Linked DNA regions of Mus musculus: all the other regions are reported to be linked to region 1. The links are microRNA targets in miRTarBase. Many come from high-throughput screens and were not tested one by one. Region 1 holds a microRNA gene; each other region holds the end of a gene's coding sequence.
Evidence for each region. The annotated mature microRNA mmu-miR-1968-5p reads UGCAGCUGUUAAGGAUGGUGGACU and lies in region 1 at 3,307-3,330, opposite strand. An mRNA with a match to its seed (bases 2 to 7 or 8) in the 3' UTR can be bound and repressed. Matches are read on the target gene's strand: a 7mer-m8 pairs with bases 2 to 8, a 7mer-A1 pairs with bases 2 to 7 and ends in A, and an 8mer does both.

Region 1 (7,735 bases):
GAACCCAGGACCACCAGCCCAGGGGTGGTACCACTCACGATGGTGCCTTCAATCAAGAAAACACCACGTTTGCCCACAGGGTATTTTTCTCAGTTGAGGTTCCCTCTACCCAAAATGACTCTAGCTTGTGTCAAACTGACATAAAACCAGCCAGCGCACATCCCTGCCTCTGTACCTCACAGACTAACAGCAGCAGCAAGGTGAGCTTGCTTCTGTCTGGTGGGTCCCAGTCCACCAGCATCTCCCTACCACAGGCCTCAGCAAGGTACTTTAGAGTCCTGTCAAGGTGCAGAACCCAAAGACAGCAGGACATCTGCCTTGAGCTGACCCATTCCCTAGACCTCCAGTCTCCTTATCTGGGAAATGGGCTTGACCAATATGAACATATAACTTAGGTTGAAGTGTGGCTATGTTTGAAGTTTAGCAGGAACCAGGAAAACAGCCTAGGCTAGAGGCCACACCCCCATGCATGTTCTCAAAACCCTTCTGAGGGGCCACGCATGGGACTGGTCAGACAGGAAATCCTCTGCCCCAGGTCACCTCCCTCAGGATAGCACTGGCACTTCCCAGGGACCCTCACTGTAGCCTAGGGTCTACACTGGCTTTACTACCACTGGTGACTAGTCTCTATTAATGAATACAGAAGACACGTAGGTGTGAAAAAGACTTCCCACTTAGAAAGCAGCAACCCTTGACAATAACGTGCTGAGTTCTAACAAGCCCACGAATACACTTGGACTCTGTGGCTCATATGTGATCAGGTCGACTACAAAAAGGCCACGCACATGGGGATAGGACCATGGGACACACGGCCAAAGGCAAGACCACACCCTAAGCAGAGGGCACAGAAACCCAATTCTCCTTAATGTCGGCTTCCACAAAGCCACAGTTTTCACTACACTTTTTTTTCTCTTTTTCTCTTTCCAGTGTTATATTAAACCCCAGACCTTCTCTAATAAAAGCCAGAAAGTGCTCTATTCCTGAGTTACACCCCAACCATTTCACTCCATCCTGACTTGGCCAGCCAGACCTTTTCAAAGACACCAGAGGCAGGGCAGGGGAGGGTGGGCTGGGGCAGGGGAGGGGAAGGGCAGGGTGAGCAAAGAGAACTTTCAACCTACCAGGTAGTATCCTTCCAACAAGAGCGTCCAAAAGCCAGAAAGACTCCTCTTCATTCTTCGTGATAAGGATCAGATACCCAGCTATGAAATTCATTCCCTGAAATCAGAATGGAAAATAAACAAACAGCGCACAGCAGGCTCCGTTCTCTTGCCCTTCCGGGAAACTCGTGATTCTCTAGACCAGCAGTTCTCAACCCTCCTAATGCTGCGACCCTTTCATGCACTTCCTCATGTTGTGCTGACCCCCCAACCATAAAACCATTTCGTTGCTACTTCATAACTGTAACTTGCTACTGTTGTAAATCCTAACACAAATATATGATATACAGGATATCTGATATGTGACCCCCGTGAAAGGGTCTTTGACCACGCTCACAGGTTGAGAATGGCTGCTCTTGACCTACCTCTGCCTTGCACAGTGGAGACCCAAAGCTAGTTGTCTGCACTGTTCTGCCAGCCAAGATGAGGGCATTCAGCCTGGAAAACGCCGGCTGCCACTCAGAATATGACACCGAAGGCGCTCTCCTCCTAGTGCTGGCCCATGGCACAGTCAGTCAGTGCTGTCTGACCCCTAAGGGATCAGCCTGAGCTGTCTGACCAGCACAGAGGCCGTGCAGAGGGGAAACTGTTAGTGACCGAGTCTGTAACAGCAGCAGGCATCAGCCAGGCCCAGTGACATAGTCCTGTAGCCCTCCCAGCTTTTTCAGAAGCTGAGGTAGGAGGACCACGAGTTCAAGGCCAGCCTGGGCAACTTACTGAGACTCTGGCTCAAAATTTTAAAAAAGTGAGGACTATGAGATAGCTCAAGGGGAGGCACGAGCTCTGCACGTTCAATCCCCAATCCCCCAAAAGGACAAACAATAAGAATCAGTGGGGGATCATGGTTCTGCCTGGAGTGGAGCACCGAGAGGATTCTCTCCCTAATGGGCGACGGTGCCAGGGTGCCAAGTGCTGGCACAAAGCCAGGCAGAGGCCATGGCCCTTGGAGCTTATGATGGGGACCTTGGAATGTCACTTCTGGGAGGATAAAGCTTTGCACAACTCCGCCTCCCTGCCTTTTGTTCATCTATCCTTTTTAAAACCGGTGGGCATTCCTCTAGAAAGGAGGGAAGAAACCCAGCTTTCCACAGACAACAGGATAGGCTCAAATAATACCAAACTGGCACCGCACGTGTGGTCTGCGCAAAGATACACGTACCGAGAGGCAATACTCACTGCCAGGCACAGAGCCTCCACCCCTGTTCTCCACCCAGAGTGTCCTCAAGAATGAGACTCAGTGCACAGGTTAGATGCTCAAGGGCTGGGGACATGGCCCTAGCAAAGCATTTGTCCCACAACTGCCTTTGGATCCTCAGTGCCCGCATGCAGAAGCCAGCACCATAACAGGTGCTGATCTCAGTCCTAGAGAGGAGGACACAGGCTGATTACTCCAGGCCCTGCTGGCCTAAATCCCCTAAATTAGCAAGCAGCAGGTTTAGTGAGCTCAGAGGCCAATGTCTTTAAAACGAGGTGGGGAATTATCTCTAGGGTAAGACGCCTGATGTCAGCCTCTGGTCTCTGCACACAGAAGCATGCACGCACGCACTCATGATCACACGCACAGGCCACAAAGCTGAATGAAGCTCACTGTCAGAGAACTTCGCAATCCTGCGGAAGACCCAGGTTTCTGTGCGCAGCACTGAAAAAAAGAGAAGGGGAAGAAGGAAAGTGCGCAGACCACAGCACCATGACAGGACAAAGGCCAGGGACCACTCTATGCTCCCGCGTCATGAGCTGATGAGGGAGACAGCTCCTGGAAAGATGGCAGCGTGGGAACTGTGGTTCTTCACCTGTGTGAAGTCCATCTTCATCCAAAGAGAGTGCCAGGCCATTTGCAAACACTCTGACTTCCCCGTGTTACAGGCGGGACTGTGTCCCCAAAGCCAGAAGTCTCCTGCCTCAGTGTGGCTTCATCTGGAGACAGGTCTATGCAGATGTCACTAGCTAAAATGAGTTCCCTTTGGAATAGGGACCTCCACTTAGATGATGTGTGCTCCTACAAATAGGGAGAACCTAGACACAGACAACAAGCAGGGCAAATGTGGAGGAAACAACAATCCCAGGAATGTCAGATTCTGGGGTGAGGCCTGGACAGGAAGTAGGGAGCACCCTCCTTAACAGCTGCAGAGGTGGTGGCCCTAACAATAGTCCACCATCCTTAACAGCTGCAGAGGAGGTGGCCCTGACAGTAGATCCACCCATACCGGGGTCTCACATTTCCAGCATCATTATAAGTTAAGCCATGCAGTTTGCAAGCTCACAGGCCCCAGCACACCCTGAAACACAGTCAGGAAACTGTTCCCCAACTGGCAATCCAAACAAGACCAAAATCTGCAGGTGGGATCCATGACAGCAGGCGTCCAGAAACACGAGAGAGGTCAGTACCTTCATGCTCCCCCACACCCACAGGAAGCCTCCACAGCGCGCCTCAGGCCCCGACCTCCTCCTACTCTGTGCCCACTCAACGTCATTCCCACTCTTCCCAATTCCCACCCTCACCAAAGTCATCCAACAGGTGCCGTCTGCTTTTCCAGCAGGGACACGCTGCAAGTTAAGCCTACTGTGAGGAAGGCTTCCTTACCCAGATTTCATGCGCCTGGAATAAAGCTTGTACCTACAAAAGGTCATTGCTGAGGACCTGTGGGGTGCCAAATATCCCCCCTAAAACATGCCAGGTTTTAAACAGGCTCTGAGGGCTCACCTGGCAGTACCCCACGTCTGGGTTGTGTAGCCCATATGCCAGGAGCACGTTGTACAGGGTCTTCTGGAGACAAGGATCCGCTGTCTTCCGAAACATCACGTTGTCAGGGAATGTCCGGTTCAAGTCTACACAGAAATTCACCAGCACCATGAAATTTCTCTGCATCTCCCAAGGTGGCTAGATTCTGTGTCAGATTTCTGGAATGGCACCGCCTGGCTGCCCCCGAATCACCCCAGAGAAGCCTAGCCACCACCTCACCTGTGTCGCACACCTGAGCCTGGGCAGCACAGGAGACAGCACACTGCACCAGGAAGGAGAGCGGTGATGGAGCCCAGAGCTCTGTCAGAATCGGGAATGGAGCTCTGGTCTCTCCCCTGGACACTTCCAAACACCCTGTTAGCATGGGAGAGAGCTTCCAAATTCCCTAGCATGGGCCACACCCCTCTGATCCTTAATCCCAGTACTCTAGAAAGAGAGGCAGGCAGATTTCTGAGTCCAAGGCCAACCTGGTCTACATAACAGGCCAGCCAGGGCTACATAATGAAACTCGGTCTCAACAAACAACCAAACACTAGGCTTGGTGGCTCACACCTGTAACTGTTAACACTCTCAAGGCTAAGGTGGGATGACTGCTGAGTTCAGGGCTAGCCTGGGCTACAGCATGCACCAAAGTTCCAAGAGAACTGAAACAGAAACTGCCCAGAACATAGGAAGGAGAATGGGCCAAGATTCCCTTCAGAGATAAACCAATAGCAAGAATTAAGTAAACTCACACTACCGGGTTTTGTGCCAAGCCTTCCCTGCCCCGCCTCTTCCTGCCCTTTGTAGCCCTTCACCTTCCATAACCTCCCAGACCCAAAACATCTCTCCTGGAACTATAAACATTCGATGATGCAGAAAGGTCACGGTGGCATGCAACTGCAGACTAGAGGGCAAGGCGGTGTCCACCCTACATGGTGAATCCATCCTTGACCCTGGCATTGTCTTTCTACGGCCTAGGCGGAGCCGAGTGTGGATGAGGCTTGCGGCCCTGTCTCTGGTTCTGTGGTCATGGCAAGCCTACCATGTGGTCCTCTAAGATGGTTTATCCAGATACTCAAAACAGAAGCCGGGACCTGGCTCAGGTGGCAGTGCCTGACTGCATGTAGAAAGCCCTGGTTTCCTCTCCAGCACCACAAATACCAGGCATGGTGGCATCCACCTGTAATCCCAGCACTCAGGAGGTAGTGACAGGTCATTTATGGTTACATATGGCAGCCCAGGCCAGTCTGGGAGGCCATTCTAAGAAAAAAGCAAAGGTACTTGCCACCAAGCTTGGTGGCCTGAGTGCTATCCTTGGTCCCCACAAGCTCTCCTTGACTCTCGGTCCTCTATATGTACACACAAGCACATAATCAATCAATAAAATGAAACCTGTAAAACAAGCCAGGTCCAGGGCTTGTACCTCTTTAGTCCTACACTTGGGAGGTAGGGACTGGCAGATTGAGCCGAGGCCAGCCCCAGGATTACATAGTGAAACCATGTCTCAAAAACGAACATATAATTTAAAAACAGCTATGTGATAGAGCTTACATGTGTCCCACAGGATCTAAAGTCTGAGACAAACAGGGAAACGACACATTAGTGTTTAACAGGGACAGTTTCTGTTTGGGAAATTATAATATGCATATTTTCCCACAATACTTTTTTTTCTAAAAAGGCACTAAACAGAACCTTTAAAATTATTTTCCAGTGCTGGAGAGATGGCTCAGTAGTTAAGAGCACTGACTGCTCTGCCAGAGGCCCTGAGTTCAATTCCCAGCAACCACATGGTGGCTCACAAACATCTGTAATGGGATCCAATGCCCTCTTCTGGTGTGTGTCTGAAGACAGCTGCAGTGTACTCATATAAATAAAAAAATAAATAAACCCTTAAAATCATTTTCCAAACAAACAGCTAAAGTCAATCGTATGTAAGACATACAAGGCTACCTGAGGACCTCACTGGGTGCCACACCCCGACTGCCTCAGCTCACACAGGCCCTGGCTACGTGAACTAAAACTCAGGAGGGCAGTGGAGGCTGCAGGATGGTCCCACCCATGGCAGGACAAGCTCGTGCCTCCCTCACTGTTCTCTGCTAGGTAACTGTAAAACACAGTGTGTCAGCACACTGTCTTGACACTGGTATTGTTGACTAGAATTCCAGAGTGCTCATTTTCTAATGACCTAGTAGTTATACAAATGTCTGCTGTTCTCCTTGTGAGCACTCTAATCTCGATCCCCCACCCCCCAAACTTAGCATCTATAGACACATCTTTAGTAAGGCAGACTTCTTCATTGCCTATGACTTGAGCCAGGGCGGATCTCTGCTCCTGGAAGGACCCTACTTCACCCCCAACCCCCCACCCAAGCCCCACGGCACAAGGCTCTGAGCACAGGCCTCCCACCTGTCCTGATGGCCTCGTCCAGGCTGGAGCTGCTCTCGCCCTCGAGCAGTCGATGGTAGTATCCAGGGCTCTGGTCCATCCGGGCCTGAGCTCCACTCACGGCCATCCACACACGGGCCCGATGCTCCAGCGGGATTCCCTTCCGGACATAGCGCTTCACTGAAACCCAGAGAGACTGAGGTTGAGCTCAGAGCCCAGGGGATAAGGAGGGTGGCTCCTCTTCCTTCTTCACCTGAGCACTTGTCTTCCTAAACCAATGCAGAGAGGAACGGAAGCTTCCTGACGCTGCCCCAACGGAAAGCGTCCACAAGGCTTCTGAAATGGAACACAACCAGTACGTATCCTAACCGCTCTCCTCTACTGCACTGTCTAGCCAGAGCAGGGACAGACTAGGACTGCGGTCATCCTCTCTACCGCCATCCCTGAAAGCTACATACATACCCTCAACTCTGAGGACCAAAGGACTCTGTCCAGGCTGATTCTTGGCCCTAGATGGCCACTCTGCCCACCATGTTGGTTAGACCCACTACAAGACCAAACACCATTTGTCCAACTTGGGTGTGGCCCAGCAGAATAGAATGTGCTTGGCTTGTACAAGGCCCTGGATCCTATGCTCCGATCCAGAAGAGACAAAAACGAGATTTGAAAAGAGACAAAGCCATAATTTAAAAATGTCTCAGTTAGGAAGTAGGCAGAGATGTGGAGTCTCTGCTGCCCGCTGGACTTCAGGCAGAGAGGAAGGGCCAGGGGATTGCAGGGAGACAGTTCTCAGGGACCCTAGACACCAGACACTTGTCCTAATCTGGAGGAACAGAAGTAGGAGACCCAGGCCAGGTCTGACAGCCACGCAGCAACAGGGACAGAAGCCTGAGGGAGGCCAGAGAAGCCACCTGTCTGACCCCAGGAGCCTGGAGGGACTCTGGCTTCAGCATCTGTATCTCCATCTCAGTTCCCTTTGCCCACTGATCACCACTTTATCTAACAGGGATATTTTGTTGGAAGTAGGTAAATGTCTGATGACTTAGGTTTGGTCCTCCTTGGCCCAGGGCTGCTGCTGTCTTAATAACATCTTCAATATTTGCTTCTTCGAAGTAAATAGTCAAAGCTTTGCTGTTTGGCTTTGACATTACATTATTTTAAAAAGTCATTACTTTCGGTCGGAGAGATGGGTCAGTGATTAACAGCACTTGCTGCCCTTGCGGAGGACCCTGTGTCCAACTCACAATTGCGGAGGACCCTGTGTCCAACTCACAACAGCCATGTGGCAGCTGACAACCATCTACAACTCCAGTCCCAGGGGATCTGGTGCCCTTTTCTGATGTCTCTGGGTACTAGGTATGCACATGGTACATACACACAGCAGGAAAAACACCCACACACATTTAAAAAAAATTTTTAAATTACCTTAAGAAGAAACTGACTTTAGGGAGTGCTATAATTTGGATGT
Region 2 (7,735 bases), not on the chromosome of region 1:
ATCAGCGTGTGATTTTCTTTCTACAGGTCTCACACAGAATAATAATTAAAGATTCACTGCTTTCTTTGCTTTTCTACAGAATTACTGTGATCCGATGTCTTAAAACGACTATATTCAGGGTTTGCCTAGAGAACGTTTAGTTGCTGTCATAAAACCGAACTCTTCAATATTAGGCTTTAAGTTGCTAGAATAAATTACACTATGGAACAATGCTTTTGCCAGGTGTGGTGCATATACCTTTAATCCCAGTGCTGGGCAGGCACGGGTAGGCAGATGTGAGATCAAGGCCTCTACTTAATCTGTGTAGTAAGTTCTAGGAAAGCCAAGGCTGTGTTCCAAGACCCTGTCTCAAAACATACAAAGAAAGAAACAAAATAAAACAAAAGAGGCCTGCTCTTTTCTGAAGGGAACCATAAAGGAGTGGATCTTGGGGCCAGGGAAGATGGTGGGGAGGGCTGGGGGGAGCAGAGGGAGGGGAAGCAGTGGTCAGGTGTAATATATGAGAATTAAAAAGAAAAGCCCAGAGCTAGCTGTTGTCCTGTTTGTTAAGCTTTATGCCTAGAAGACAGAGAATCTATAGAGTTTCTCTTTGGCCTTCACGTAAGGATGCTTAATGTTCAACTGTTACAAATGCCAGTGTGATCTCACTGTGTAAGGAAATGGTCTGTTCTGGCAGGGCTGTGGAATCGCCAAGTGCTTGCAGATCACCTGCCAGGTTGGTCGACTGGATAGAGGCAAGAGCGCAATCCTGTACGTGAAATCCCTGCTGTGGACCGAGACGTTCATGAACGTAAGCAGACAGACGTACCAGCAGGTGTATACATTTTTTCAAAGAGTTATAAGGCTTGCTATCTAAGAGACCATCGCTTGTTATTTCTGTGCAGAAGGAGAACCAGAACCATTCCTATTCGCTGAAGTCATCTGCTTCCTTTAATATCATAGAATTCCCTTACAAGAACCTGCCGATCGAGGATCTCTTCAACTCTACACTAGTAAGTCACCGGCTTCAGAGCACGGATACCTGCCGTGCAAACACCTTAGTGATTTTAGTGGAAGTTTAACTAGAACAAGTGAAAAGATAAGTTATTGGAGAGGATTATAGAATGGAAAGCATTCTCTTTCTTTTTTTAAATTACATTTGTTGTTGCTGAGGAGGGTCACGTATCACAGTGTGCAGGTCAGAGGACAGCTTTTCAGAACTGATTCTGGGACGTGAGGATTGGACCTTGGATATGAGGTGTGGTGACCAGGGCCTTTAGCTGACGAGTCATCCCACCGACCCAGGCTCTGGTCCCTTGGTGTTCTTGTACTTCATTGTCCTAGAATTAGTAGAGCTGGCCCTTTTTCTTTAGCACTTGGTGCTGTGTAACAGGGTTTTTTTTTTTAACTGTATACCAAATTTGTCAGGGGATATTTTGGGGTTACTTTCTCCCCACAGTTATAAGGTTGGAAACTAACTACTAACTACTAACTAACTACTGCTAAGTAAACATATTTTGAAGATATCTAAGTATTGAAAATAGGATCAGCTGCCATGATCTGTATTGGGAAATTTACTAGTCATTTCAATTTAAATCTGATGTCAACCTATTGTCAGAGTCTTGTGTGTGCGCTTTTGTGTGTGTGTGTACGCATGTGCTATGGATGCCTAACGTGCACTCACTAAATGATTGTATGAGAAAAAGAACGTGGTGTGACTACCACTAAATTTATTATTAAAAGAAAGTTGAGTACTCACTGACTAGGCCAGTGAGCTATTTAAGACTCAGTGTGTTTTCTGCAACAGGTCACCACTAACATCACCTGGGGCATTCAGCCGGCGCCCATGCCTGTGCCTGTGTGGGTGATCATCTTGGCAGTTCTCGCAGGGCTGCTGCTACTGGCTGTGTTGGTATTTGTAATGTACAGGGTAAGTAATGGGCGTTGAAGGGGGTAGGGGGATGGAATAAGAGAAGAAGGGACAGGATGAAGGGAGTAAAGAAAAGGAGAAAAGGACCCACAGTGTTGCTGCCTGGTGAGCAGGGCTTATTTCAGGATGGGACACTAAACAAAAACGCCATTTGAATTTTCGAGGTGATAATAGAGTCGGTCATACTTTCAGCGATCTGTTACTGAGCTAGAACTATGCTTTTTCTTTAACTGGCAGATGGGCTTTTTCAAACGTGTCCGACCACCTCAAGAAGAGCAAGAAAGAGAACAGCTTCAGCCTCATGAGAATGGCGAAGGAAACTCTGAAACCTAAGGTGCTTCTTAAGTGGCGCCACTTCTGTCCGCTCCAAGTTCACCACCGTGGTGGTGGATTTCAACATCTCTCGTGAACAGTGAAATCCCAGGACTGTATTGCTGAGAGCACCCAGCAGTCTCAGTTTATCCACAAAATTGAAATGGATATTTGTCGACTTCTCTTTATGAATAAGTTCAGATTACATTTACTTCGCCTACACTAACGTGTGTTCTTAGGGACTTAAGTGATGGAATTTCAAGTGATTATCTTTGTTCAGTGTACATAAGACAGACAGCACTGAGTCAGCACGTTACATAGCATAGTACCTCTTCAGTTACTGTTCCTAATTGACTGTGTGGGGTTTCTCTCTTCGACGTTACGTTAGGGCAATTAGGATTGTAAAGCAGTTCAAATTTAGACCATCAGTAAGTTTGCACAGGCACTTAGAACAGGTACACATTACACTACAGTTGACTTCATAAGCTACTGAAGACTTTGCAATTGCATGGACTTAGATTTTAATATCATTTACACAGTAGAACTTTTAAATAACACGATACCATCAAAATTCTTTCCTGGGACTATAGCTCACTTCGAAGCGTGTGCAACTCCCTGGGTTCAATCCTGCACACTGGGAGGAAAACCAGCAGTTTCCTGTATTAACAATGGTACAGTATTTTTATATGAAAGTTAGGTTTTTATTTATGTGTAGTCTGCATTGTGTCTTATTGTATTTTAACTTTTGTAATTTAAATTCTACATCAAATCCTTTAAGTCGTTTCCTGCAGAAAATTTTATAATTAAAAATACCCGTTAAGTAATAGTGTGGTCTCAGCTGCTGCTGCTGCTGCTGCTGCTGCTGACTGAAGCCCGTGGAGTTGGAAGGGGTTTTTGAAGTACATCTATTCCCTTTGTTTGGCTGCCTGCAATGTGGAAAAGCCCTGGAGACTCTCCATGGGTCTCTACTCTAACTGCTCATCAAAAAGACATTCTTTAATTGGACCAGAGCGTTTAATTATTAGTAATTTATTTTCCTCCTGTCCTCATATTTTCCTTCCACTTCCAAAACTGAGAATGGCTCAAGACCTTCTTCATAACCTATAGGAACCTGGATCTCGCGCCCTTACCCCACGAGAGATGCCTGGGACCCACATTCCAAAGGTGGCTCATGGGATGGTTTCTAGCAATAGCATGGTAGAACCTCAGGTTAAGCAAGGTGATCTATAAAACCTGCCTCCACTGTCAGAAAGAATGCTACAAAGGTGTTTTTGTAAGCAGTTCTTGTTCCTTAAACCTTCTAACTCTGTCTTACATTTTTTAATTTAAATTACCTTTCTGGGACTTTAATAGAGGCAGCAGAGGAAGCACGGGACCGTCTTAAGTGGTGGTGATTTATTCACAGTTCCTCAAGGCCCCGGGATAACTATCAATTATAGCTCTATTTTTGTGCAATTACATCATGTTATGCATTGGAAGTTGAGAATTTTAATAGCTTTTTAAAATGCTGTCCTCATTAAGCAATGAAAAATATTTCTCTTAAATAATTGAATATTTTTCTACATTTTAAAAGTAATTGAAGTTTGTCTCACCGTATCTTAGGCTAATTCCATGTGCATATGGATGAGCTAATTTGGAGAATATATTTTCATAACATGAAGCACATTTATGTGAGTTGTACGAATTAGAATATAGACAGGACCCTATATTTAGCTTTAATAAAATTTTAAATTAATGAGTTCTGGCTTGAAAGATCATAATCATATATGCAATAATTATTTTTTTAAACCAATACATTTAAATTCTTTTAAGAAACATTTTGGTCTTAGGGACAAGTGTCTCTAAGCTACTTAGGACTACCACACAGGTCACTAAGTTGGCCTATACAAACTTTTACCTTCTTTGTCTGTCAACATAATAGTTGTCATTCCTGAAAATCAATGAAATTCATTCTTTGTAAAAATCAATATTGATTTTTACAGTTATTCCTATTATGGCTTCTATGCCAAGGAATAACTTTCTGTTAGAGATTGAAAGATATTTGTAATTGGAAATTAACATGATGTAGTTTTCAACAATAGCATGGATTTTCTTTTAAAAAATATAAATTTGTATCTCTGTAAACTTAGGAACTGTAATTTGAGAGTTAACACTCTGAAAAAAATGTTGAGATACTCTTTATCCCATAACAGCATAGGCATGTAGTCAACAAAATAGCAAGAGATTATTTTAGATTCATATTTGTAATTTACCAATAATTAACATTTATTTCTAAGCATAAAATTTTCATAATATAGGTTAATTAAAGAAATTGATTGATCCAGAGGACATTTGACACATGTGAGGAATATTAACGTGGATACTGATTTCTTATAGAGATATTTATTTTAGAGTTGGTACTTTAAAACATCTGTGTGAGGGTTACTTTCCTCCCTTATGTTTAATTATCATCATAATTCTGATTGTGTTCTGAATGACTACGGAAGGTGAAACAGTCAAAATATTGTCTTAAATCTACCTGTATTACAATATTACTTATTAATAGTAAATCCTCATGAATACATTATTTATATAATGAGGAAAATCACTAAGAGCAGACAAGAGTTTGTTGCCGCCTTACGAGAACAGTGTGAGTTTCTGTAGTGAGTCTAACCCCGAGGAGGGAATTTAGTGGCAAAGTATATATTGGTAGAGCAACTGGTTCTTGTAGGGCAACAGAAGGCCAAGGTGGCATCCATCCCCATTTGAGAGAATTCTGGGGAGAGCCTCAAGGAGAAGGAAAGGAAGTTGTTCTAGAGTCTCTGTGTGTGGCCATTGCCTATCTCTGTGTCACCTTGTTCTTACTCGTGGCTAGCTTGTACATTTAATTTGATGAGTAAGGGGAGATGACCAAAATGTATTATGGGATCTAAAAAGACAAATACAATTGCTTGATGTCTAGTAATTTGTAAAGGTTTCTTTGGACTTGGTCCTTTTATTTGAACCATGAACCTGTGGCTATGCCATCTGCAGTATACACTGGCATTCATTATAATTTCTGATATGTCATGGACTTCCTGTGAGGTACTGAATCTTTGAATTTTGTTGTCATTGTTCTTAAGTGCAATATAACAATGTAACGAAACTTAAATATAAGTCACTATTTAGTAATCTTAATCCGAAATTTATTAGTATTTTTTTGTTAGCAGAAAAGAACAACTCTGCTGTAGTTGTAGATATATAGGTGAAATTTTTTGTTTTTTGCTTTTTCTTTGCTTTTTTTTTTTTGTTTGTTTGTTTTTTTTACCTCTAAACCATCCAATCTGCATTTTATTTTAGGTGGAAGATGAACTATTCCTTACCAGTTTTAAAACACTTTCAGTATATTAAGGTAACTTGGAAGCTGTGTGTATCAAATTCTTTTGCTCGCTAAGTAACCTGGAAGATAATTTTTTTTGGCTTCTCTCGTGATCACCCACATTGGGTGAGACATAAGATGAGTCTCTCCTGAAATCTGTCATTTGCTAACTTGTTTTGAGTTAGTAAAAGCAGGTACCATGTTCTGCTTTGTTTCCAGTGTGTAACTTGTGACTGTACAATAAACTTGAACGTGTGGTGCCAGCTTCCTGTGTGGATTCTATCCTCTCCTATGAGCTCATGTTTCCTAATTACGGGAACCAGCGATACTGCATCAAACAGTGACTTCAGGGTGGTGACACAGCTCCCTACAAGTGCAAAGATTTAAGGGTATAGTTATCTAAAGGAAGGGAACCAACAAACAAAAGGCAAAGGGAGCCTGGTGTTAAGACACATTCCTCGGAAGGAGATACATTCTTAGCGTTTCAGTGCCTTGAAATAATAGCAAGAATCAGTCGGTGAGATTATGTGAAATTGAAAGGCATCTGCACATCAAAGGAAACAGCAGAAAAAAGAGGCTAACTATGGAACAGGTGAAAGTCTCAGTCTGCTTTGCAGCCTGCAGACCACTAATATCTAGGTGCTGTAAAGAACTCAGAAAACTAAACTCCACAACGCTAAACCATCCAGTCATTTCAATGAGCAAATAAAAGACTCAGGCATTTCTGAAAAGATGAAACATAAATGGCCACTAAATACATGAAAAAAATGTTCAATTTTAGCTGCCAGGAAATGTAAATCAAAACTGCATTGAGGTTTGGTTTTAACCTAGTCCGAGGGGCAATTGTTTACGAAGCAAACAAGTGCTGGGTGGTCTGTGTGGAACAGGAACTCCTAGTGGGAGATGGAGAGAATGCAAACCAAGGTAGCTCCTGTGGAAATCAGTCTGGAGGGCCCATGATAATGAAAATAGAACTATAATGTGCCCCAGATCTAGCAGTCCTGGAAAGCTAAACACACCGAATACAGTTGATCATCCATGTTTATTGTGACACTATTCAATACTGTTCACAATAGCCAAGCTAGGGGAACGGTCTAGGAGTTCACTGATGGATGGATGGATAAGAGAAATATGTATTTATAGTAGGACTTTATAAAAAATGCTATTATTTGAAGGAAATGGATGAGATTATCAAATTTGAGTAAAATCAGAATCAGCATGTTTTCCCTCATCTGTTGACCATAGCACACATACGGAAAGTGACATGAATATTCAAGGGGGGAAAAAAGGCAAATAGCGGGAAGGGAGGGTGAGGAGAGGTTAGCATGGGGTGTATTCATAGTACTCGATACACTTGAGAAACATCATTGTGCAACCCATTGCTTTGTACACTGAAATTCACCAAGAAAATAGAAGTTCTTCGGGTAAATAAAAATTTGCTAGAAAGATAAGAATCTCCATTTATAAGCCAATGATCTTCAATTCTTATAGCACTGAACTTTACAATTTTTACTTCATCGGGCTGCTTTAAATAATATCCATTTCCCTGTAAATGTATGAGCCGATTCCAGTTAAGTCCATCTTTTCATCTTTTGTTTCTAAGCCATCTAAAATAGTATTATACAGGGTCCAATACTGTTTATTGTTATTTTCATCCTTACGTGTCTTATTCTTTTTAATTTTACTTAATTCTCTTTTTTATTAATTTCAATCTATGTCTGCACATATATATATATTATACCTAGTCTCTTTCTTCAGCATGTATTCAGAAAAATTTAATATTTAATTTGATCAGAAGTTTGTCTGTGCTTGGATTTCTTCTGTGTGGGTTTTTTGTTTTCTTTTGGTTTGGTTTTTTGTTTTTTGTTTTTCAAGACAGGGTTTCTCTGTGTAGCCCTGGCTGTCCTGGAACTCACTCTGTAGACCAGGCTGGCCTCGATCTCAGAAATCCGCCTGCCTCTGCCTCCTGAGTGCTGGGATTAAAGGCTTGCGCCACCACGCCCGGCTGTGTTTGTTTGTTTGTTTGTTTTCTTTCTTTCTTTCTTTCTTTCTTTCTTTCTTTCTTTCTTTCTTTCTTTCTTTCTTTCTTTCTTTCTTTCCTGGCTTTTGATGCCCAGTTCAGACCTCATGCTCTCTGTTCCATCCCAGCTCTCAGGCTCACAGGGGAGAGGCGTTTT
Region 3 (7,735 bases), not on the chromosome of region 1:
TGAGCAGCAGGGCTCCAGCATGCCCCAGGAGAGGGAGCTATCACCCCACCCCAGGGGAGCGACACAGGCTCTTTGTTTGTATGTCTTGTAATTACACATTCATACCTTTGCGTTCAATAAAGAAGTGCGTTGGGGACTGCCATTTCCTATGCGTTCCGTGAATCCTGGGAAGGAGGTGGCCCCACTTATGACCTGGATGTGTGGTCTTTGTCTGTCTCTTGCTCTTGATGGGGACAGAACATGGCAACATAGGCAGATATTAAGCATTTCCATGTATGTGTGTCTCTGACTCAGGACTTTAATGGCACTGGAGATTAAGCCTAATGCCTTGCAGAGTGACTTGAGTGCTCTACCACCGGTTGGTTGTACCCTGAGCCCTTTTACTTTTGGGATGGGATCTCATCAAGTTGCTCAGGCAAGCCTTGAACTTGTAATCCTCCTGCTTAACTCCCCCTCACCCCAAGTAATTAGGATCACAAGTTTAAGCCACCAAGCTTCTTAGGCATTTAGAGAAAACAGCTTGTGGGGTTCAGTGGCTACAGAACAGACACTGAGATCTGGATCTGGGACAGGAACAGTGTGCCCATACAACCCATGCATGCTGTCTGTCCTGGCTAGGGGCCTGGGTCACTGCCACCCCTGCACCACACTAGGCTCACCGAGCTTAAGTTTTACTGCGTGGTGTTCTTGTCCATTTCTTTGTGGAATTTTTGCCAAGTCTTGGTCTTCACAGATGCTGCCTTGGAGGCCCAGTGCGACTTGAAAGATCTGAAAGAGTCTCAATGGCTAAGAGGGTGATGATTTCAGTTGCAGGTTTGGGGTCTCTGATAAGGTCACCCAACCTTGCCTGTGTGTCAGCTGCACCATTCTAACAGAACAGATCCAACTCCTACGTTAATGCTGCAGACAGACAACCCCGAGTCTCAAGCGCCAGTGGAGTGTGCCCTGGGGGCCTAAAGCAGTGCCCGGGGAGTTCTTATCAGAGAAAGGGAGTTGAGCACTTCCATGGATTTGAATGTTATTCTTACCTGAGCTCCAGGACCCGATCAAACCGACCTGTGTCCTCTGGGATAGAGAAGAGGTCCAGAGGGAGATCAGCGAGCCAAGAATGCCTCACACTCTCCACACGGGAAGAAATAGAATACTCAATGCTGACAGTTCCTTATTTTATTGCAGAACATCAAAGTCTGGTTAATTAGGTGATACCAACATAAAATATTGGTGAGAAATCCTTTGTTACATTTTTGACCACCCCACCTTAAATAGTTCTGTGCAAAAGAATCCATGTTATAGTTTGGTAGCAGATACTGTCAGGAAATTCCCTAGGACATCTAGGGACAAAACCAAACCAAATGAGTGCTAAGAGGCCAAAGCAGTATCTTCCCTTCCACACACACACACACAGGTCATAATTTTCTGAACAAAAATGATTACACTGAGGCCATGCAAAACTGTACAATAATATTACAATGAGAAAAAAATCCTAAAAATTTATAAAATAAATGCTGTTATTCTATCAAATAAGGTCATTTTGTTTTCAATGGCATCAAGGCTGACTGATGACAGTCAGTCTCCTAAAACTGAAGTAGGGCTCTGTGTGATGCTGTCCCTGGGACAGGAGAGTGTGGTGCTGGCGCTAGCAGGAGACACACTCACTGTAGCAGGGCTCTGCAAGGAACTGGGTTTGTGAAGACTGAAGGTTCCAACAAGGTAGGAGCCACTCCAAGGGTACAGGGAAATGCTGTGCAGTGGGGCCAGGTGGAACTGGAAGGGGACAGTGGCCTTGGGCTATGGCAGAGTAGGACCTACAGCAGGGTGTCAGCCATTTTAAGTGCACCTGTATTGGGGGTGGGCTGGGTGGGCGGCAGCTAGATGTGCTGAGCTGGGAGAATTAAATTTGTGGTGGCTGCCCTGGGAACGGAGGCTGCCCCTCTGCTCTGGCTTCTCTTTAATGACACCCAAGGACCCACACAAGGCAGCTGAACTTGCCTGGAAATAAACGCGGCCACTAAATTAACAAAATGACAGGATTTTAACATGAAAGAGGAGTAGCTGAAGAAGGGCTGGTGGGAATGACGGGAATTCCAGATGCTTTCTCTAAGCCTAGCTATAGGAATTCAGTGGAAAGCCTAACAGGCCATTTGCAGTTATTCCCCTGTCTTAAAGCTGCTCACTGGGAAAGAACACAAATGGCTAAGCACAGGGAGTATGTACACAAATTTAAAAAATCATATATATATATATATATGATCTGCTTAACAATCTCTGATAGGAAGGCGTTTGTTTTTGGCAAAACCAAAACGAAACCCTGTAATATATTTTGTATACCCACCCAAAACTCACATAACAGATTAGCCAGAATTCAAAGGGTAAATAGCATACAGGCTGGACATAGCACCAAGTACTAACCCATAGACACTATATCAGAAATGTCTCTTAATGTATTTTTTTTTCCATTTCTGGATAAATTCCCGGTGCCACACACTTTCAAATACCTTCCATGGGGTAGGGGGAGCGATCTCAAGAAAGGCTTAAACCTAAGGCCTTGTCTCTAATCTTTGTTATTGACTGCTCTGAGGAATCTTTGTTTCTGTCTCCTGGAAACCGACTAGTCATCTTTCTCCATCCTTTCCCAGTTTCTGACAGGAATACTCTTCACAGAAGGCTGGATGAATCTGGTAAGAGAGTCATTTTTGGAACCCCACCCTCTACTCTGGGCCAGCAGGGCTGCTGTTGGGATGGCTAGTTCTTTGACAGCAGTGGGAAATCCACCAAATCCACAGGGCTCCTTGGGGCAGAGCTGGGGTGGAAGTCACTGTGTGGAGCCGGACTTTAGGGGATGTAGAGGTTTAGACTGATTCTAAAAGGGTTCTTTTAAAAACAAGCACCTGTAGGCAACTTCACAATTGGTTGTCAAAGCTACAAACCAAAGGCTCAGGGTAGAGTTCAGCGTGTCTCAGCCTGGTCAGGTTTCTGCTGGGGGAAGGAGAAAGAAGAGGGAAAGGACGGAGGGAAGGGGAGGCAGCTCTTTCAAGCAAAGTGTCAAGTTGAAGCAGATGTATAGGGATCTGGCCAAACTAAAGATCTGACCCTTGTTTTTGGGTGTACACAAGTTATTTTTATATGATCTGTTTCCAAAAGGATAAATATAGAGTGACACAGTGCCCACCCCAAAAAACCCTTGCTCACTCCAGACTCCAGAGTGTCTGTCAAAGCTGCTGCTTACAAAGACCCCAGCCCACCCTCAACTCTCTTAACACCCCCATAAAGCTGCATGCCTGGGGAGTCTGACCTGCAGGGCCTGGCAGCTGTGTAAAGGTCAGCTTGGAGATCTATTTCAGATGTGGCTTAAAGTGGGGAGAAATGGTGGCTTTTCCATCCCGGAAGAGGAGAGGATTAAGAGAGGCAGGGCCTCTTTACGTCATGAGCACTAGTTTCCACCTGTCCCCTCCTGTGTGCGTAGCTGGAGGACGTCTGAGTAGAGGACTCTGTGGTCTCCTCATGCTTCCTGGGACAAGTGCAGCAGTAGATATCCAGAGGGGAAGCTGGCTCACAGTCCACGGTGGCCAGCACACCACAAGCCCCACCGTCCCCTCACGTGGGAAGGCATATTTGGTCAAGGCCATTCAAGCCTATGCTTCTGAGGTTTTCTGTGATTTAGTAAGGAGACCTGTCCCCAGCAGTGTGTTTAAAACTACCCTTAACCAACAGGGAAGTTGTGCTTAATCCAGAGACTCCTCATTGCAACCTAGAGGGGGCAAGGTTTGGCAGGGACAGAAAAGTAGCTGCGTGACCATCCCATAATCTTCAGAAGCCACGAATTCCCCGTTAGGATGGGAAGGGCTGGAAGGTGGCAGAATTGTTTCACATTCATCTGTGCGAGATACCAAAATATTGTAAGTGGGGGACATGGTCTGAGAACCAGAGGCAAGATGCCTCAGAGCAAGTGAGCCTCTGGAGTGGCTTCACCACCCCCGGTGGTGTTCAGGTCACATCCCACCAATGGCACTAATCTCCAAACATTCCTTAGATTTCCCTGTGACCTCAGCCTGCCTAGGCTTGAGAAGAGACACCATGGGGACCTGACTTCTGATCTCTTTACAGTGTCACTTGAGGCCTTTCTACCCTGTATATGACATAGCTGGGAAACAGACAAGAAACAACACATTTCTTTAAATTAAATGATCTTTCTTATATACGCATCCATCTTTCATCAAACACAAGATGCTTCTTTGACTATTTACATTCAGTATTTAACTTCTACATCTATGTATTTATTTAAACTCTGTATTGTAGTAAAATATGCATTGTTTTAATTCGTGAGGGTTTACTTCCTGGCAACAGTTGGCTGACGCTCATGGAGGCTGCTGGGCGCTACGTGAGGGCTACGGTGAGAACACAACCGGTCTACTCTTAGCGCTGCGTCTGCGCAGTCTGTCTACAGAAGCTACCTGGGGGTTGAGGGGAGGGTGAAGCGGGCCTGGCTGCGGAGGAATCCCCATTGCAGCAGTGCGGAAGGCAAGGCTGCTGCCAGGCACGTTGTCGGAGTGGGAGTGCAGAGTCCCTGCCTGCAGTCACCGGTCCTGGGCTCATGGATCCCAGCTCCCGCGGTCTGTGCTCTCCAGGGAGAGGCTCTTGGTCTTTTGGGGTGAAATGGGACTTGGGGGGCTGCTCAGGTTAGAGCTGTTGGAAGCTGTGGAATGCCTTGGAGAATCAGAGTCCTGCAAAACAAACAAAGCGTTGGTGAGAAGCAAAGGAACAGAGAACAATCACTGCCCCAGGCCTCTCCAGTACCCACAACCCAACCACCCATGCGTGTCAGCAGACAGCTCCTCCATGAGATGACTGGAGGATGCACACACATGAAAACTGCTGAACCCTTCATTGAAAGGTGATTAGAAGCCTGAAGCTTCTGGAAAGCCACAGTTTACACACCCGTGACAGGCCTTGCCCTCCCTTCAGAGGCACATGCAAAGGGGCAGGGAGTAGATCAGCCTGGACGAAACATTGGCCTTAAGCATGCATGGCAGGTGCAGCCACCATCCATGGCCCATTCACCTCTCCATCATAGTCCCTCGCAGGGGCGTCACTTCCTTGGTCCATGCCTCCTGATGACAAAGAGCCCTCCGAGGGAGAGGGCATGGGCTGTCGCTTTGTGTTATAGCTTCCTCCAGAGAATTCCCTCTTTAGTGCACTGCCATTCTGGGCTGACGACCCTACAGGACAATGGTTGGGAAGAACTATGTATTCAGAAGAGGCCACACCTCTATAAAGTGTACAGGCTTCCAAGAAGACAGAAGTCCCATGCGGAAGGTTGTTTCTGTTGTCCTCTGGCTATGGGACTACTGGTGTTTAGACAGCAGTCCCCAGGCCCTGTGGTGCCCATGGAATCCTTCCAGTGCCATCTGCCATTGCCAGGGTGCCCTCAGCATCGTCATACCACAGACATGTTGGGCTTTCTTCTAACAGATGGGGCATCTGCCTACCCAGACCTCACAGAGGCTCCTAAGACATGGGCTGCACTCTCAGAAGCACACAGCCATCCCCAGGCAAATGCTGCCTTTCAGAAACTCTCATAGAAAACAGAACACAAGAAAGCACTCTTATTTCATAGCTTGAGAGGAACACTTTGGGGGTTACTTTGAGGGCACCCTCAAATGCTGACCTAAGAGCTGGGACATATAGCAAGGGGACCAGTGGCACTGACAACAAGAGAAGAACCCTTGGAAACATGACAAGTACTGTTAGTGCCCATTTAAAAGTGTTCCACGTTTCTCATTATGCTTTAGTCTTTGCTTAAGAAAAGTTTTAATTTTATTAAGTTTCATGACTGGTGAAGGACACTGAGTTATAGACTGTTTCAATGTATTACTGATTTTGTTAACTGCCTTTTACATTAAGAATCCAACAAAACTGTCACCATACAATTGTATGTCCAGCTACTGACCACCAACTGTGTCAGTGCTCAGAAGGCACTGCAGAAGCACACCCGGCAGACTGTTCTCAATGCCCCCGAGGCCCTTCCCTCCCTAAGCCCTCACAGCCTCACCATCCCTGACTCCTTCCAGACACTACCACTACTGCTTGTAAACTGGTGTTCTAGAAATATAGTACCTAGGTCCTTGCCAAATGGTTGTAGTAGGTTAGCCTGATGCTGTTTGTATTCTAAAACTAAAATTGGGTTCCCAAGACTGGTTGCCCCAGAGATGAGAGAGTCTGCACTTAGATGCTAAGTGACCCTGCCCCCAAGTTATTTCTGATTGGCAAATAAAGATGTCAACAGTGTTATGAAAAAGCCCAAACCATTCTGACTCTCAGAAAGCTCATGAGGTAAATAAACACATGCTGTGGTGTGTGGCTCCTTCTCGCCCCCTCGTCTCTTCCCTGCCTCCTCCAACCTTTCTTGTCAGAGTTCTGTGACATGGCTCAGCCTGGACACTTGCTCTTCTCTTGCGTCAGCCCTGTGCTGGCATGCCCAGCTTGTTTGCTTGCTATTTTATGGTTCTAAGTTGTGGGGTAAGTTGTTATGTTGTCAGTAGTGATGAATATAGCATAACTGAACCTCACAATATATGGAAACAAGGCACGTATAGAAACCAGTATTTACTGAATAAACAAAAGTACCAGGGAAGTCCAAGAATGAGGATAACGAGTATGTCTTCTGACTGAAGGACTTTGAAATAGGAAAATGGATGTAGTGTATTTAGCTGCTCGGCCATCAGTGGTTTGGGAATAAAGAAGGCTTTGCTGAGGTCTCTGGTGTCAAGTGTACAGTGTCTGCTGGACACTCAAAGTTGATGGCAATCTGTAACTACCATCTTACATGCAGGAACTATCCCAGCCACGATGAACTAACTCTGTGCACATGTTCCCACACACTCGGGCATGCTGCTGCGGGCATCACTGTACAGTCCCTTCTGGTAGACACAGGTCCCCATCATCTCTACCAGGAAGTTGCTCCTGGGCAAGGGATACCTTTTCTTTGTGGTCTCACCTCCTCAGCTCCTCTCCCCTCCCCGCCCGGCCACTTACGTGCAGACAGGCCGCTGCTGGCACTCATGGAGCGGCCTGGCTCAGGGCGGGACTTGGTGATGGAGGGAATACTGACGGAGCCACTGAATACTGTCCGGCTTTCCTGAGGCCGTGGGTTCTAAAACACAAAGGAGAGGAATACTCTTCAGCCAGTTTTGTGTGGACATTTGCCTTTTACTCTGGTTCTCTAGGCATCTTGAACAGAATGATAGAGGGCAGGGAGCAATCGAGTCCCAGTCTTTCTCACCAGCAGGGCTCTGAAGCCCTGAGAGGAAATGAATGTCATCCCTGCCAAGGAGTACTTACCAATAGGCAGCTTTTGGTTTGCAACGTTACATGGTTAGCTGTAAGTGGGCTGCAGAATTACATGGACATTTGCAGATAACGAAACTGCGTTGTCTACAGTTGAAATTATTTACTTAAGAGACCTGAGTTAGCCTATCTGAAGGAGAGTCAATTAAAATTATTTTCTTGACAAACCTTTCTTCCTGCGCCATGTGTCATGTTCATGAATCTTACTAGCTCTGGAACATGAAGCTTCCTCCTGCTGCACTTCATAGCTCAGTCACAGTTGTACCAGGGAGCATGAGTCTGGGACCTGCCCTACTCAGTGCTTTCAACTAGAAAAGGGGTGCAGGGCAGAGCAAAACCCAGAGAATGCAGACATTTGAATCAATTTCTTAAATATTAGAGTGGGCAGACC

Region 2: the mRNA of Itgav is a reported target of mmu-miR-1968-5p. Seed matches in the 3' UTR shown: 7mer-m8 at 3,057-3,063.
Region 3: the mRNA of Cdc42bpa is a reported target of mmu-miR-1968-5p. Seed matches in the 3' UTR shown: 7mer-m8 at 3,305-3,311 and 7mer-m8 at 1,976-1,982.

What each region holds. Positions count from the first base shown.
Region 1 is chr8:13,185,762-13,193,496 of GRCm38, forward strand. Mir1968 (microRNA 1968) reads right to left here and starts at 3,337; the gene lies at 3,270-3,337. It overlaps Grtp1 (GH regulated TBC protein 1), which reads right to left. Exons shown (of 8, transcript NM_025768.2): 3 at 6,289-6,447; 4 at 3,862-3,986; 5 at 1,122-1,218.
Region 2 is chr2:83,801,094-83,808,828 of GRCm38, forward strand. It overlaps Itgav (integrin alpha V), which reads left to right. Exons shown (of 30, transcript NM_008402.3): 27 at 677-790; 28 at 885-992; 29 at 1,787-1,909; 30 at 2,147-5,824. The coding sequence ends at 2,242. Among named protein-coding and RNA genes, the nearest start is that of Fam171b, 7.7 kb to the right of the region's middle.
Region 3 is chr1:180,159,021-180,166,755 of GRCm38, reverse strand. It overlaps Cdc42bpa (CDC42 binding protein kinase alpha), which reads right to left. Exons shown (of 37, transcript NM_001359541.1): 35 at 7,033-7,150; 36 at 5,059-5,216; 37 at 1,153-4,721. The coding sequence ends at 4,590. It overlaps Coq8a (coenzyme Q8A), which reads left to right. Exons shown (of 15, transcript NM_023341.3): 15 at 1-1,518. Among named protein-coding and RNA genes, the nearest start is that of Gm38331, 15 kb to the right of the region's middle.